Linked DNA regions of Rhinolophus ferrumequinum. The protein of the gene in region 1 interacts with the protein of each later gene in a biochemical or structural test. Links are inferred from orthologs where the notes say so. Each region holds a gene or a part of one and is shown on either strand. Other genes may lie near its edges. The genes, in order: SEMA4D and CD72.

What was found.
Region 2: the proteins of SEMA4D (region 1) and CD72 form a complex in vitro, tested with the Homo sapiens proteins (2 studies listed by BioGRID and IntAct). The link is inferred for Rhinolophus ferrumequinum from reciprocal best matches to the Homo sapiens genes SEMA4D and CD72.

The regions. Positions count from the first base shown.
Region 1 is NC_046295.1:4,543,749-4,551,990, forward strand, and holds the start of SEMA4D (semaphorin-4D), read left to right. Parts: upstream 1-4,789; 5' UTR 4,790-4,844; intron 4,845-8,242. UniProt on the Homo sapiens protein: Cell surface receptor for PLXNB1 and PLXNB2 that plays an important role in cell-cell signaling. Regulates GABAergic synapse development. Promotes the development of inhibitory synapses in a PLXNB1-dependent manner.
Region 2 is NC_046295.1:51,821,720-51,829,571, forward strand, and holds the start of CD72 (B-cell differentiation antigen CD72), read right to left. Parts: upstream 3,406-7,852; 5' UTR 2,220-3,405; coding exon 2,138-2,219; intron 2,021-2,137; coding exon 1,913-2,020; intron 1,895-1,912; exon of another isoform or gene 1,778-1,894; coding exon of another isoform or gene 1,666-1,777; intron 1,336-1,665; coding exon 1,264-1,335; intron 700-1,263; coding exon 610-699; intron 309-609; coding exon 1-308. UniProt on the Homo sapiens protein: Co-receptor of B cell receptor (BCR) that plays both positive and negative roles on B-cell functions. Recognizes the Sm/ribonucleoprotein (RNP) self-antigen ligand, and coligation of CD72 and BCR inhibits BCR signaling.

The DNA.
Region 1 (8,242 bases):
GCTGTGTCACGAAGGCATAGTACCGTTGTGTGTGGCTGTGTTAACATTTTATTTAAGTCCACTTTGTAGCACATGCGTGTGCTTTACAAGTCCTCATTTACACAGTTTCATCCCCAGAGGGGAGCTGCATTGTATCCTCCCCCTGGGGAGGTGGAAGGGCTGAGGCAGTAGCTGGGGAGGGTGCAGGGCTGGGGGAGTACCTGGGAGAAGTGCAGGGGCTAAGGGAGTAGCTGGGGGAGGTGGGAAGGGAGTGACCTGTTCTAAGGGCAGCACCAGACCTGCACCCACGCAGGCTGGCCTCAGAGCCCACATCTGGTCAGCACACTTTGCTGCCTCCCCTGTTAGGGGGAGAATAAACACAAACTGAGTTAAAGCATCTAATTGACTTGAAAGAAGTATAGAAAGTGGTTGTGCTACATGACTTGATTGTGTTTTATAGCAGACAACGTGAACGTATGTACGCCCTTTCAAAAATAGCTCAACTAACTGGAAAAACTTAGAAGAAGATTGACTAAACATAAGTCATAGAAATTATGTAGGACGTCCCCTAGTAGAAGGAAGTGAACCTGTCAGTGATGAGTCAGAGGCCTGAGTCAGCTTCCTGCTCCCCGAGGTATGAAAGAACAGAGCCTTCTCACCGTCTCATGCTGTCCTCTGTGTGCCACCCAGACCCCTGCAAATAGGCTTTGTGTTCTAGGTAGAAAAGCTTCTCGGTCAGGTTTTGCTGGTGGTTAAAATCAGTCTTTAAAAATGAATTTGAAGTGGAAAATTGGCAATGATCTGAATTCCAACATTATCAGATATAATTGGAACATCGCATAGCCATGGAGTGATACTTGGGAGCCCTGAACTTACACGGGATGATGCCACATGAGGATATTCGCAGGGAACTCAGCACAGTTCACCCAGGGGTCCTGCCTTCCCCTCCTGCGGCCCACAGGTGACAGGTCCTCGCTTCCTTCTTGGACTTCCGGATCTCTGTTTCTGCTGCCCTGTGGCTACCAGCCTGCCTCTCCCACCCCCCGGGGCACTGTGGGGTCATTGCAGCCCCCTCCCCCAGGCCCTGTGCACTGGCACATTTCAGCACGAGCATGCGTGGCCCACCCTCCAGAAAGGGTCACGAGTGAACGCTCTCCTCTATTTCAGTTATTTAGAAGGAGGAGGTCTAACAGAATGTCAGAATGACTGGAAATGATGTTAAGTCTGTCTGCTGTTCTTAAAAACTTCCATTTTGATGAAATCCAGTTAGTAAACTTCAAAAAGGAATCGTATTTATTATTATTAATTAACAGTCAAGGTATTACAGCCTTTTTTTCAATTGTGAGAAATGTGTTTTATCTAGCCTTTTCTATATTTTCCAAATTTTTCACATTTAATATAACTTACTTTTAATACCAGGTTAAAAATATCTTAATTAGAACACCACATGCTTAAGATAAGCATTCAGATAGTACTAAAAACTACAAATACTGAAAAATGAAATACACTCCTACCCCAGACAAAGCCACTCTCGACTCGAGTCACTCACTGCCAGCAGGTCTTTGATTAAATTCTGGTATAATCAAGTAGTGCTTCTGATTAAACTACACACACACACACACACACACACACACACAAATGGTCATATACATGTGCCAACACAAATGGGAACATAGTATAACACTATTGAGAATCTTAATTTTTACTGAACTAAGTATCGGACATTCTTTCATTTCAGTGGCTGCTTTAATCTTTTAAACAGCTGCATAGTATTCCAACCTAGGGATGTGCCACAATTCCTATATAAATAAATATACATATATACAATATACGTATCTGTGTCTACACACACATGCACTCACATACACACAGAATTCTTCTAGGTGTTTCCAGTTTTCCTGTTGAATAGCCTTGTACTTGGGCATCTTGAGCATGTTGGGGTGTATCCACACTGGTCCCTGGCAGAGAACTGCCAGGTCCATCCTCACAGGTGTCGTTCAGTTGCCCAGTGCGTGCAAACTCCCCTGGCCCCTCATCACTGCACTTTATGACCAGCTGTCTCATGGCTGCCCCTCCCAGAGGTGGGATGGCGTCTGGCTATAATGTGCCAACCCCCCCAGACAGGACAGTGGGGTGGAGTACTCGTTGCTGTTGGCGGGCGGGGAGGGTTCTGGGCTGGGTGAGGAGGTTGAACAGACGGGGCTTGAGGCCTCCTACCCGTGCACAGTGGCCGTGATCGGGGCCTTGTGGTGCGGGCCCTGTGCCAGGGCGAGTGTGGCCGTGGGCCCGAGCTCCCTGTGGGCAGGAGGAGGCTGGGGGAGCCCTGGGACATTTTGCAGGAGGGGACTTAGATGTGTTAGCAGCCAAATCCTGCTTTTCGATCCTAGGGAGTCTTCTTATCAAGGGTTCCCAGGTAGGAAGGCTCATCACTGAGATTTACGCGGGGCTTCCTAGGCGCCACACGCTGCCTTAAGCTCTTCATGTGGTCACTCATGGAGCCTCATAATAACCAAGTGAGGTAGGCACTCTGATCAGGCCCACTTTCTGGATAAGGAAACAGGCACAGAGAGGCCCAGAAACTTCCCCACGGACACACAGCTGGTAAGTGTAGGTGCCAGGCCTAGAGCCCAGATCACTCTTCATACTCTCACCCATCCCACCTGTGTCTTCTCCACCTGCTAAAGAGGTCACCTGGCTGGTACCAGGGTGAGAGACTTTTGGAACGAGGGGTCACAGCTGCAGATCGTGGGCAAGATGCACGGGAGGCAGAGGCCCATCTCACCATGGCCTTTGGCTGTTGTCATGAGTGGCAGACGGACCGTCAGACATGGCAGTTGGGTCTCCCATGCTCTCCTGCACTACATGGGGACAGGTTGGGGGCAAAGGCCAAGTTTCCTGGGAAATAATTCTCTCCCTGATTAATTTCATTCCTTTTTTTTATAGTTGAACCCTTGCATTCTTTCAGGGGCAGTACAAGAAGTTAGGAGATGCCTAGTTAAAACCATATCGTTAGTAATTGTGTGAGGAATTTGTATTTTGCATGCTTCAGTGTCGTGATAACTAATTATAGCTTGGAGGTTTTTACCTTGAGAGAGAAGAAAAAATTGCCATGATGAAGGGTACAGACAACCGGGGACTTGGGCCTCTGTGGTTGATTGAGGCCGGAAGTGTGTATTTTCACCCAGAAACCACAGGCTAAAAGATGTTTGGCGGAGGTGACAGATGGAGACTTGGCTTGGAGGAGAAAACGAGTGTGCTGGGTCCCAGTGCACTGGGTGAGGTTATTAAGAATACACACACACGCAGAACCCTAACCTGCCGTCATGTGTGTGTGCAGTACCAGGAATTTAAGGTGAATAAATAGGATGTGTGCTTGTCCAAGCACAGAACAAGCAGCTCTGGGCTTTCATTTATTGAAGTGACAAAGGCTTACTGAATTTCGGAAAGGGAGTTTTTCGGTTATAATTTTCAGTATTCTTATTGTTTCTTATAAGAGGTTTAGATAAAACCTCTTATTTGTGTGTGAATCACTCTTTTTCCCATAAGTATTTTCTCCAGTCTCCAGATGGCTGTTTTGCCCCCTCACCGCCACCTGTGTGACAGGAAAATCCCACAGTTCGTTAGGCTTGCACATCGCCTGTTAATCGGCTGAGCCAAAATCTCCCCCAGCATTAAAATAGAAGACATTGGTTCCATGTCCTGCGTGGATATGGCCTCTCCAGGACACTTCCTGCTTGCTCAGATGTGAAGTTAATTTTGCTTACACATTGGCTGTCAGACGCAGAACCAGTCCTTGGAAGCCCAGCCACAGTGCAGCCTGATGCATCCTAAGCATTTCTGCCTGTTACTTTGGCGTCTCATTTGCTAACTCAAGGTGTTTGCTCAGGATTCAGGGGACATGTCAGGCCCTGAGGGGCCCCCGGTGACCCTGGAAATCATGTGCTGTGAGTGGCCGTTGAACGGTGGGTGCAAGCTGGGTTCCGTGCTGCGGGCGCGACCCCACCGCTCGGGCTGTGTGTGGGGGAAAATGGGCCATTAGCTGTGTTCCCGCGGAGCCCATGCTACTTCTTAGCTGTCTTCAGAGAAATGGCAAGAATTGTGTAAGCTCTTAAAGCAAAAGAAAGGAATACCCCCGCCACAGAAGATGCTCAAGTTTGATTCTGAGGTGTAAAGACTGTGTTGGATCATTCGCAGCCATCGAGGAGTCAAGCTCAGTTGAACCCACTGCTAATCCTGCAAGAATCTTCATGGTGGCCTCTGGCTTCACCACTCAGATTCTCTTTGTTGAACGGTTTGTGATCTCGCTGGACTCCAGGATCTCTGTTTTGAGCGCTCCCTCCTGTACTGTGAAGGAGTAACAAACACATCACAGAAACTTGCTACACCACTGTGGAAATTCTCTGTTTGGCTTAAAAACAACAATCAAAAGGAAAGAAAAATGGGAATGTTAAACAGGTTCTTCAGGAAGTCATTTCTTGTAGATATTTTGTATGTATCTCTGCTTTTTCTTTCATTGCCTCACACCTTTGGTGTTCAAGGAAGAGGAGTTCCAAAGGATACACATCTGAGAATCCCATAATCCTTTTTTGATCAGTGACCATGACCGTGGCTTGAATTTAAGTGGCTTATTTTGCGGGGGAAGTAGTGGCTGTCAGTAGCTGGGATCAGCTCCTGCCTCTGGGTGACTGGCCAAGTTGCATTTCCTTTGTTTATGGGTGAGCGATCTCACACTCACTCCCTTGTCGCATTTGCACAAGTGCATGAATGCCACGCTAACCCTGGGTCAGAGAGTCAGCGACCAGAGGATCCAGAAGTTAAATTCTTCCTAGAAGCAATTGGGGAGTTTCAAGAGGCACAAGATACTGGTAAAATCACTTTTTTTTCCCTCCATCTATATCCCAGTTTAGCAAACTTGACACCTTATGGAAGCCCCAGTGGGATTCAGCAGTTTGGTTGTTGGACCCTGCGTGCTCTTGGGGTCAAAGATGTGGACTTCACCGCCGTCCCTAGGGGTGGCCTGAGGGGGAGCCCACAGGGCAGTGGGTGCGGCAAGTGTCGCCTGTTTTTTCTTCCTCCCTCCCATTGCCTTTTCCCCCCCTGGGCTGCTTCCCTGCTCGCTTTGGACGGATGGCCCCTACCTAGTCTGAGCGTTGAAACGCTCCATCTTCTCTTTGGCAGGACGGTGAGGTCCGATTTCAAAGGAGAGCTCTCAGTGTCGTCGCGCCCTGGATTTGGGTGGTTTTGTGATTCATCTTAATTTTGACCAGTTAGTACATGGTCGCCCATGTATTTCCAGTTGTAGAGGAAAGGGAAATGCCAGTTTAATTTGTAAAAACAAAAGGAAAGCTCTCCTCTCCCCTTCGTCCATTTCTGTGACTCACCTGTTGTGAATGGGCCTAGCAAAGGTGTCGCTCTGCTTGTCTCAGCAGTCCTGCCACCAGCAAGGTCTTAGGGGCTAGTTTGTGCCAGTGGGTGGGCACTGGTAATGATGCAGCTCACCTCGGGGACACTTGGCATTGCATTTATTGGCTGGTTACGGACACGCATACGAGTACATTTCCTGAACAGCCTTGTCTGCTGGGCCAGGCTCGGTGGTTTCTCGCTAGTGTGTTAGGTTGCTGCATTAAGAATTGCAAGCCCAGGCATTTATGTTACAAGGATTTTTTTCCCTAGCTTTTTATCCCCTAGATCATTTGTCTTTGGATTTTGATTGCTGAGCCCTTTAACTTACAGGGCTGATGGGGTCCCCGCTGCCCCTGCACCCACCTTGCTTATGCCCTTCTGAATGCCTGCCAGTTGTCACTGCTGGTTGATTGGCTGGTATGTGTGTTCCTCACCCCGCTGCCCTCCCCTTTCCAGCTCCCGTAAGCATGCGCATGGCACACACGTGCTGGGCTTTGCATAAGGGAACGAGGTTAAGGCGTGTCAGACATCCTGACTGGCTTGTGTGCCCCTGCAACGTTCATTGCTGGAGGTGAAAGCAGGCATCCTGGGACAGTGTCCTGGATGCTTTTCTGTGGGGTGGGTCCAGCTGGACCCAGCTCCAGGGCTCAGCTTGTCCCTGTGCAGCTGGAATGCTGCTGCCGGATGCTCTGCTCTAAGTTCTGGGGAAACTGAAGTTGAAACAATGAACTCTTTGTTGGGCATGTGACACAGAGAGCTCCTGAAATCAATCCTGATTCCTGGGGGACAAGGCCATTTCTGTGAGGTGGTGACATCAGCACCATAGCCAGGGTCTGGGGAGGAGACCAGGCGTAGGGGACGGGACATGAGGTGGGGGAGGGGAGCCTGGGGATGTAGGGGGCAGGCCTGGGGGTAACATCGGCAGGACATGTCTTGGGGTGGCTGCCTCTCTCTGCTCCCGCTGGGAGGGGAGGGTGTGAGGAGGTGCAAGGCCTCCGTTGTACCGGCCACAGGGCCTGGATGGGGAGCAGGGCTTCACCCGTGCTGTCTGGACAAACACTGTAGACAAGAAGCCAGAGCAGATTGCCTCAGCAGTCGTCCACAGCTGTCACCCAGGATCCCCTTTCACAGGTTCCCTGGGGATCCCAGTGAGGGCACTTTTAATGTTGGCTATCAGCCTGTTGCTGATGGGAGCACTGACACCTGATGTGTGGTAGTGAGTGGCGTCCCCTCTGTGACCCACCCCTACTGCCTCAGATAGCTGGTCCCAAGAAGGGAAGCCAAGGCGTGACGTGGGTATGACAGACCTCATAGCACCTGTGGCCCACGGTGCCTGCCTTACTGCACCCCAGCTGGCAGTCACCATTCACATCTAAGAATGCAACACCAGATCAGAATTTTTGTGCTGCAGCAGAGTGTGGCCATACCACACGCCCATGTGCACATACCTGTATGCACACATGCAAACACATGCTCAGGGATGTATACATACATGAATGCACACACATGCATGCAAGTATGGATGCTTATACATACACGTATCACACTTATACAGATGTACGCAAATGCACGTATACATATGCACAGAAACTCCGATGCACACAGGTGCACGCATAACATGCATGCCCAGACGTGTGTGTGCGTGCTGACATGCAGATGTGTGTGCATACAGACATTTGTGCACACAGTGTTGTGAACTAGCTCTTACCCTTACAGTTTGCTGGGTGTGCCTGTTTTCTCTGCCGCAACCCTCCGGCTTGGTTCAAGGCCCCTGGGGTGGAAAGCTGCCATGTGACAGGCACTGACAAGCCCTGAGTGATGGGCTCAGAGACCCCTCTGGGTTCTCTTCTCCTGTTATTTAAAGTGGGATCATGCACTGCTCACAAACCAGCACAATTCCTCATAGGTAATGGGAGTGACATGTGTGACCCTGTCATCCTAATGGGCCTCTGTCTCAGGGTGAAAGGCAGCACTTTGCACAGGGAAGTGAAGGGCTGCTCCTGACGGCTCCCAGCAAGCTGCCTGAGAAATGCCCCGCAAAGCCAGCAGATAGGCACTGCATTCTCTTGTTTCCATTTGAATGTGTCTGGTGATTCCTGATGGGACACCCCGCAAACATCATGGAGGCAGTGTTGCTGGAGGAGAGCACGGTGGCAGCGTGTGCGTGTGGGTGTGGGGTGTGCTTTGCTTAGCAGTTTTTAGATTATATTAAAGAATGCATGCTTGGCAGAAAAGTAAAAGCATCTACCCCTTCCAATGTCATAAAGCAATGTCCTCTGCATGGAGGGGTGTCTGTGTGGCAGGGACCCTCCTGCCTTTGGCTGTCCATGTGCATTTTTTTTAAAGACCATTTGGGAACGAGAGGCAGGGTCCGATTCGGGCCGTCAAGAATCTGGTGTCTGCTGATGAGATAAATACAGCTCAGAGCTGGATAAAATCTGTGTGTGCTGGGGCACCCACGTGCTTCTGCAGAAAGAACTTCTCTGTCCTCCGGTCCCGCTGGCAGGGCTGCCCGGAAATGGCCGAAAGTGACAGCCACCGGCTCCTGAATAGCAGTGTCGGGTTTGGTCCAGGCTAAAGGCAATTAAAAAATGTCTTCTCTTCTCACCTAAATCAGTTTGAGCAGCCTGCGTGTACAGAGGGAGACGCAGGCCTCCACCCAGCGTCTGCTATTGAGTTTGTCAGGCAGCTCCGCCTGTGTGGGAGCTGCGGGGGAGAACGCCTTTATGAGGCCCGTTCTCAACTTCTGTTCATTCTGGGGACTTTGTTCATGAGACTTTCTGCCACCGGGGACTCAGCTTGGTTCTCTCGAGCTCTAGCCAGGGTCTTCTAACTGGGATGTTTGCGTTCCCCCGGTTCT
Region 2 (7,852 bases), about 47 Mb from region 1:
CAGCCTGTCCTGCATGCGGTTCAGCCTCTCCTCCAAGGTCTTCCTCTGTCCCTCCTCGCTTCGCAAGGTCTCCTTGGTCTTCTCCCTCTCAGACTCGCAGGCCTGTAACTTCTCTTTGACAGCCTGGCAATCCCTCCGTTCCGCCTGTAGTGTCTCCTGACTCTGGGCCAGCTCCCTTCTGGTCGCCTGCAGATCCTGTTCCCTCTGCCTCATCTGGGCGGTCCTTTGGTGGAGCTGCTGCCTCATGCTGCTGTTAGTAGCTTCCAGAACCCTGTTCACGTGCTGGAGCTGCTGGGACACCTGCAGATCTGTTTGGCCATAAAGAGAGATTTGGAGGGCATCATCTTCAGCTGTGCCCTGGTGCCCCGAGACTTCAGTGTCAGCCCTTTTTGCTTCTTGCAACGTTTTGCATGGCAGGCTGAAATAGAAGATCGGCCTAAAGCTTAAGGAGGTACTGAATCACGTAAGGACGATGAAGACATAATGCTCTAAAACAAACCTGGCTGGTGACTCCAGCCCCTGCTGAGGAAGCGCAGCTATTGGGGAGAGGAGGGGAGAAAGTTGTTTGGGGTAAGTGGGAAATGGGTGGGGGAGGGCAGCCATACTCACAGCGCACTCCCAGGGAAATGGCAGCCATCCCTAACAGCAGGCAGGTGAGGAGCAGGCCGAGAAGCAGGTATTTGGAGCAGGCTGAACCGCCTTAGGGAGACAATGGGATGGGGGGCAGTGAGCCCCAGGAAAGAGTTTATAGACTGAGGGGTGGGTGGGGAGATTCACGGGAAAGAGCCTCCCTCAGAGGACGTGGTGCAGACCTGGTTTTTGTGGGGCAGTGAGTTTCCACAGGTAGCGGAGGGAAGGCGTTCCAGAATAAGGGCTGGGGCCTGTGACTGTAAAGAGTGTGACTGTGCACTACCGGGTCGGAGGAGGCACCAAACCTCAGACCGAGACAGCCGCAGAGGGTATACGAATGGGGCCCATCGTAAGGGGGGAGAAGAGGGGAGGATCTGGGTCGACACATCAGAAAGATGGGGGTGAAAGGGGCAGGGGGGTGTCGTGGAGCTGCCCAGGCGGTCCGGGGGACTGCGCCCGGGAACAGACCTGCACACAGCAGGACCCAGTACCACCCGCGCCCGACCCCGCACCAGCACAGCACTTCGCGCCCACCCCCGCGGTCCTTGCGGGGTCGGCAAGGGGAGTGAGGCCGCGGTCGCGCGCGAGCCCCGCCGCCGGCGGCGCGCGCGGCCGGGAGGGCGCGGTACTCACACTCCAGAAGCCTCCTGGCAGCGGGTGACGTCACGGAGCTCCAGGACGCTGTTGGCAGCTCCGACTGGACTCCTGCGCAAGGCGAGCGAAGTCCAATGAGCAGATGGGAAGCCCCGGGAAATGCCCCTTTTCCCACCCCTCACACCCCCTCCACCTCGTTGAGACTCCAGTGTCCCCCGTTGCCTTCTGCAACTGCTCCGGGTCGCCCTTTGCACTCCGTGGAGTTCCCCAGCTCCCCCGGGACTCTCTCGTGTCCCTCCTGGACCTTATACCTATCTGTTCCCCAGGGACCCACTCCTCGCCCTTTTGGGTCTCCCTTTATGTTTTCCGCAGGGTCCCTCTCTGCTTGTGCCAAACCCGCTCTTGGGAGCTCTCTCATCCCTCTCCCCTACCCTCTCTTACCCGTCGTGTGACTTCCTAGTTCCCATTCGAATTCGTCTCCCCACGGCGCTGTCCTGATCTCTCCCCGATCCCCGCTGCGATCTGGGAGCCTTGTTCTTCCCCTGACTGCCATTTATCCGGTGCTCATTCTAACCTTTCCTAAGAACCCCCACCTTTTCCCAAGGGTATTGTCCTCCCAAGAATACTGCGGACTCCCCAGCTCAAGATACACCCCCTACACAAACACACATCCGTGGGCTCTTCATACCGGTTTTGTCCCCTAGTCCAGAGGAAGCCAAGCTCAAGGGCCCCCCGGAGACTGAGGGCACTTGTACATTCTCATAGGTGAGTTCCCCATCATCATCAGCCTCTGGGTCTGGAGAAGAGAAAAAAGGGACCAAGATGGGGGTCAGGAATGAGAGTCTGTGGGGTGGGGTGGGGTCATGAAGGGGATGGGGATGCAGAATCAAGGAGATACTCAGCCACCCCTTACCCTGTCCTAACTGGCTGGAGATGCTCTTCTTCAGGGGAGCCTTCACAAACCGCAGGTCTGCATAGGTGACAGCCTCAGCCATGGTCCTGGGCACCTCTGCCCCACCCGTGTCCCCCTCTTCCACTGGCACCAAGCTTCCCTTGCCACTTTCCCCTCTGTCCTTGCACACTCTTAGGCTGTGTTCCCTCTGTGAATGTACAGCTTACGGCTTTGCCCTGTGACTTCCAGTCACAAAAGAGGAAGGTGTGAGCAAATCTCAGACAGATGGGTTCAGTGAAGTGGATCATATCCTTGAGCACTGGCCAGAGCGTCAGGGGAGGAGAAACTGAGGTTCAGAGCATGGGGGTCAGGACTGGGGGGGGCAGGTCACAGGACTACTACTCAGGTCTGTCCCTGTGTCCTGCCTGTGCTCCACCTTCATGTACCCCAGACCCACTTTGGCAGTGTCGCCTCCAAATACCCATCCTCCTGATCATCTGCCCTGATTGGCCCCATGGCTCCTCTCCTGGCTACCTTGTCCACAGGCTTTCTCTGTGTAGTCAGAGCTCTTTTGTGCCCAGCTGATCCCAGAGGATCCCCCCAATCATTGCTCTAGGGTGGGGCTTCATCCTCCCCATCAGATTGGGGGGTTCTAGTATGGAGCCCTAGCTCCTCATCATCCTGGGGTTCCCAGCAGGTATGCATTCCCAGAAAAGGGTCCCTGATTTTGTGGGCTCATCTCCCCATCAGTTTGGGAGCTTTTAGAGTGAAGCCAGCTCCCCTCCTGCTGTAGTCCCACAGAGCTACTGAGGATCCCACACACAGGGAGGGTCTCACACCGAAGCTCTTCCCGGGAATCGCAGCCTTTGGAGGGTGCAGAGGATCTGGGACCACACTGCTTCTTCTCTGCAAACGCCCCAGACGTCTCTTCACAGCCTTTCCCTGGCCTCTTCCACCTTTGTTGCCCTACCCAGCACACCTGTGGCCAGTCAGCCCCTTCCTGGTCCCATCCTGCCCCCTGCTGGACTCATGGCATCAGCTGAGTGCCAACATCTGAGCTGGATCCAGCAAGCTGAGTCCAGGAGGCAGAGGCTCTGGGATAGGTCTGGGCTGGGGGTGAGGATGAGGGCAACCCCAGCTTGTGCATCTCTGGAAAAGCCTGCAGCACTAACTGCTCATGAGCCCTTTGGTGTTGGGGGTGGGGTCAGAGAGCAGGCAAGCGGAGGAGTGGTATAGGAATGAAGAAGTGCTTAGCTTCTTAGATGAGGGGAGGCAAAGAAATGAAGCAGGGCTGGCTGCTATGAGTACAAACTCCGGATCAGCTGAGGTTTTGACATTTTCTTGGTTTGGTTTTTGTTTCTTTCTTACTTTCCAGTAAAGTACTTCCTTAAAAAAAATCTCAACGTCCCTTTACACCCAGCCCTGAGGAAAGGGGAATTTATGGGGGAAAACCAGGGACTGAGAGGCCCTCATCGCTGATGAAAGCCTGGATGATGGAAGAGAGGGAGACCAGGGGAGGCAGGAGGGGCCTGCTGAGCAGTGGTTCAGAGGTGTTCCCTGATGTTCTTTTACCAGGATGTGACCTCAAAACGGCCTACTTCTGGGGGTGGGAAGAAGCTGGGTCAAGACAAGGTATGGAGGTAGGAAAAACCCACCCCCAATGGGTGACATCCGCCCCCTCAAAATCATCCCCTGCAGCTGCGGGGAGGGGAAGGAAGGGGAAGAGGTCCTCACCACATGCTAACAGCTTGTAATATTTGATTAGTGGTGTGTGGAGGAGCGCTGTGATGGGCCCACGGGTCTGTGGGGAGCTCTCCCCAACAGTGTCACCCAGCCTGCCCCAGAAAAAGTGCATTTGTTATCTAAGGACTTGTCTCAGGGAGAGGCAGGGGTGTGTGTGTCTGTGCATCCCCAGGTCTTTGCGGTCTCTTGGGGGTGTCTGTGGGAGATGAGCGTGTTATGTCAAAGCCTGCTCCAGGGGATTAAGCACAAAGGATTCAGTGGGCTGAAGTGTGCCTGTGATAGCGGTTATTTTTTTCCACAGCAGGGAATGACAGGCGATTTTCAGAAAAGTCTTGAAAAGTCGTGGGGACGGATTCTACAACTATTTCCTTTGTGAGGCTCCGTGTTTCCTAAGGTGTCCCTGCAGCTGTTAACCGTCTCTGCTTGATTAAAGTTTCCAACAACCCAGTCCCCTCCCCCAGGCACCTGGTCAGGGCCTCCCCCAGATAACAGGCAGTGCTGTGTGTTGGTGACTCCCTGGGGACCTCAGGCCTGTGAAAGTGAGTGGGAGTGTGCAGCACAGCTGTGGCAGGGGTGAGTGGGGGCAGTCGGGGTACTTGTGTCTGTGGTATAGAGGGCAGAGTGTGTGTAAATCAGTTGCAGGAAGACTTGTAGGAATGCTATAAACTGTAGATAATGTCCCGGTTTTCAGAACAAAACACAAGTGAACGTGGTTTGGATGCCAGGTAAAATGCCAAAAGCCAGTTTCTAGTATGTGCTCAACAAAGAATCAGTGGGCATGCTGCCTAACTTGACTCTTGGAGAGGCTTCAGAGGGAGGGAACTGGGATGAACCAAACTGCGCACCCACCGTGGCCTGTCTTAGGCAGGCTTGGCCCGTATTCCTCTCCTCTTCCGCTCTTTTGGCAGACTGGAAATGCGGACTGTCGTAAGGTTACACATCTCCTGTGGCAGTCCGCATTTCCTTCCATCCTAAACTGTCTTGTGGCCTTCCTTTACTAATAGGTATGAGAGCAGGGTCCTTCTTCCCCATGTGTGTCACATGGAGTCTGAAATATTGACACTCATATTATCTTTCAAAACTGAACATCAGGAAGGACACCTGTAACTGCGAACTCTTACCTGCCCAAATGTCAGGAACACCTGCGGCCTTTAAGAGCTGAGGGGCAATGCTGTGCAGCTTTTCCAGGACCGTAATATCACCTGTGGTCCCAGAGGACAAATACCAAAGCCCAGTGCTTGCCTTCTCCTGACCTCCGCTGTTTATTGCAGGGAATAGGTTGTTAAGGTGACAAGAGGAGGGAGCCCAACTCTGAGGGCATCCAAAACAGAATTGGCTGTGTGGAAAGGGGCTCACCTGGATAAACTGTGGTGAAGTCCAGCCAACATCAGGAAGTCAAGGAAGTCTCCTGAGACCCTGAAAGTCAGGTTATATCTGGCTTCGTTAAGGTAACCCACTGGCTCCAGGGGGCCCAAATCTATGGATAGGGCATGGTAGGCAGAATAATGGCCTCCCCAGAATGTTCACACTCTAATCCCCAGAACCCGTGAATATGTTAATTTACCTGACAAAAATGTAAATGTGATTAAGTGAAGGACCTTTAGATGGGGAGATCATCCTGTTTTACTCTGGTAGGCCCAATCTAATCACACAAGTCCTTGAAAGGAGAAGCTTTCAGGATCATGGAAAGAAAGAGACTCAACCATGGGGGGCGGGGGCAGAGAGATGCAACATGAGAAGGACTCCACCCCAGTTGCTGGCTTTGAAGGTGAAGAGCCAAGGAATGCAGGTATCTTCTTAAAGCTAGAAAAGGCTTCTCTAGAGGCCACCTGATATAAATGGATTCTCCCCGAGAGCCTCCAGAAAGGAACAAGCCCTGCTGACACCTTGATGTTAGTCCAGCGAGACCTGTGTCAGACTTCTGACCCACAGAACTGGAAGATGAGAAATTTGTGTTTTTTAAGCCACTGAATTTCTAGTCATGTGTTACAGCAGCAATAGATGAGTTTCCCGAACTGTGGAAGAAGCATGATGTAATGGAAAGAACATGATATTATGAATAAAGAAGTCAGCCCTGCCACAGAATGTGGAAAAGTCACAATTTCCTATTTAAAATATAGGATGGTTTAGAGAATGTCTGACATCAATCAAGGATGTGATTGCTGGAGACATAGTAGGGATTTTAGCAAAAGCATCTTTCAAAGTCTGTTCATAGCTTCAGAGTCAGGAGGGAGAACTGTGAGCCGTCTTACAGCACTAAAGGGGATTTGCAGCTCTGATCACTGAAGCCAAAGAGTAGGTCTCCAGTGACTTGCCCCAGGCCCCTCCTTGGTCCTGTCTTGGAGAGTGACACAGAAAACACATTCATAGATGCTGTTGGCACAGAACTATAAGGAAAAGCAAATATACCGAAAGGGAAATTCAGGAGTCAAACACTGAGGAAGGGCAAAATGACGGCTCCAAACCACAGAATGAAATGTAATACAGATACATAATAACAGCTAGCATTTATTGAAAAATGAAATTTTGAGTTCAAACAACAAATTACAGAAGCATGTAATGGAGGGAGTCTGGCTTAACAATAGTTTATGTACAAAGGTTTGAGGGGAGGGGCAGTTATCAGGCATTTTGGAGCTCGAAGGGATCTTAGCGAGCCCAATCCACTTATTGTACAAATTAGGAAATGATTCAGTAGGCTGTAAGCTACTAATTGTGAACGAACCGCTTAGTTCACAAGGAGGGCTTGTGAAATTCTATCCCTTAGGACTACATCTCCTTTACCAGATGTCAACACTGTGCCAGCCACAAGGACGGTCGCGTTTGAGGGGAGCGAACCCCGCTGATGAGGCAGCCCTAGACGCCAAAAATTGTGCTATGTGACCACCAACTCCTCTGACCTTAGCTGACTGGGCATCTGACTCAAAGCTGTGGTCTATGGGGTGGCTTGGCCTGGAAATCAGGGACAATCTATTTTTCATTCTCAGGAATTTAAATGGAAAAATATGGAGATGACCACTCCGTTAGCAGTGGGAGCTGAGGTAAAAGGTTGCAAAGAGTCTACGTCGGTCCACATGGTAGAGTCCTCCATCCTTAGCGATTGTGCCTGGCTGCTCCCATCTCACACACGTGGAGTGGAGTGATTATCCTGGCAGGGGTCATCAAACCTGATTTTCATGAGGAGATAACGTTGCTGCTACATAATAGGAGCAGGTGGCAGGTATCTGTGTGCCCAAGGGATTCATGGGGCCTCTTGGTGCTCTGTGCCCAGTGATAAACTATCCACGAATGGGCAACTGCAGCCACCACAACCGGAAAAGGGCTCAGTAATCGGGGCTCAGCCTCCTTGGAAATGAAGATCTGTCTGTGTTACCCACCAGGCAGCCATCCAGACCAGCATCTAGTGCTGCTTGAGAGTAAGGGAATGGTAGAGGAGGAAATGCAGTATCTCAGTTGCAGCCTTAGAACCAACCACAGCAGTGGGGATTGTAGCTTGTCCCACTAACCCTCCTGGTCTACTTTTTTATTCCTCTTCCTCTTTCTTATTTTAAGAAGCAGTGACAGGCTGAACTTAATGAGGGACATGAGTAGATCTGAGCAACGCACGAGCAGACAGTGCCTCAGCCATCCCTGTCCTCTCAGGCCTTACCACTTGGTGCACATCAGCCTGGCTTCCAACTGCCAGTGTCTTTGCCTGCAGCTTTTCTTTGGCAAGTGGCTCTGCCCCAACATATGGCCGGTTAAAGTGGCCTCTCCGCAGAGCAGCTCAACCAGTGACTGGTGGGAACTGGTATACACACACAAGCAACCTCGGCCCTGGGGGTGGGTAACTCTGAGGACACATGCTACACTAGCTTTCAGAGTTTTCCAATGGTTTTGAGCCCGTTTGCCACCAAGGATGTAAAATGGTACCTCGCTCTTACTTTAAATTGCCTGTCCCTGTGAATTTGAACATATTTTCATGATTGTTAGCTAGTTGGATTTGCTCTTCTATTA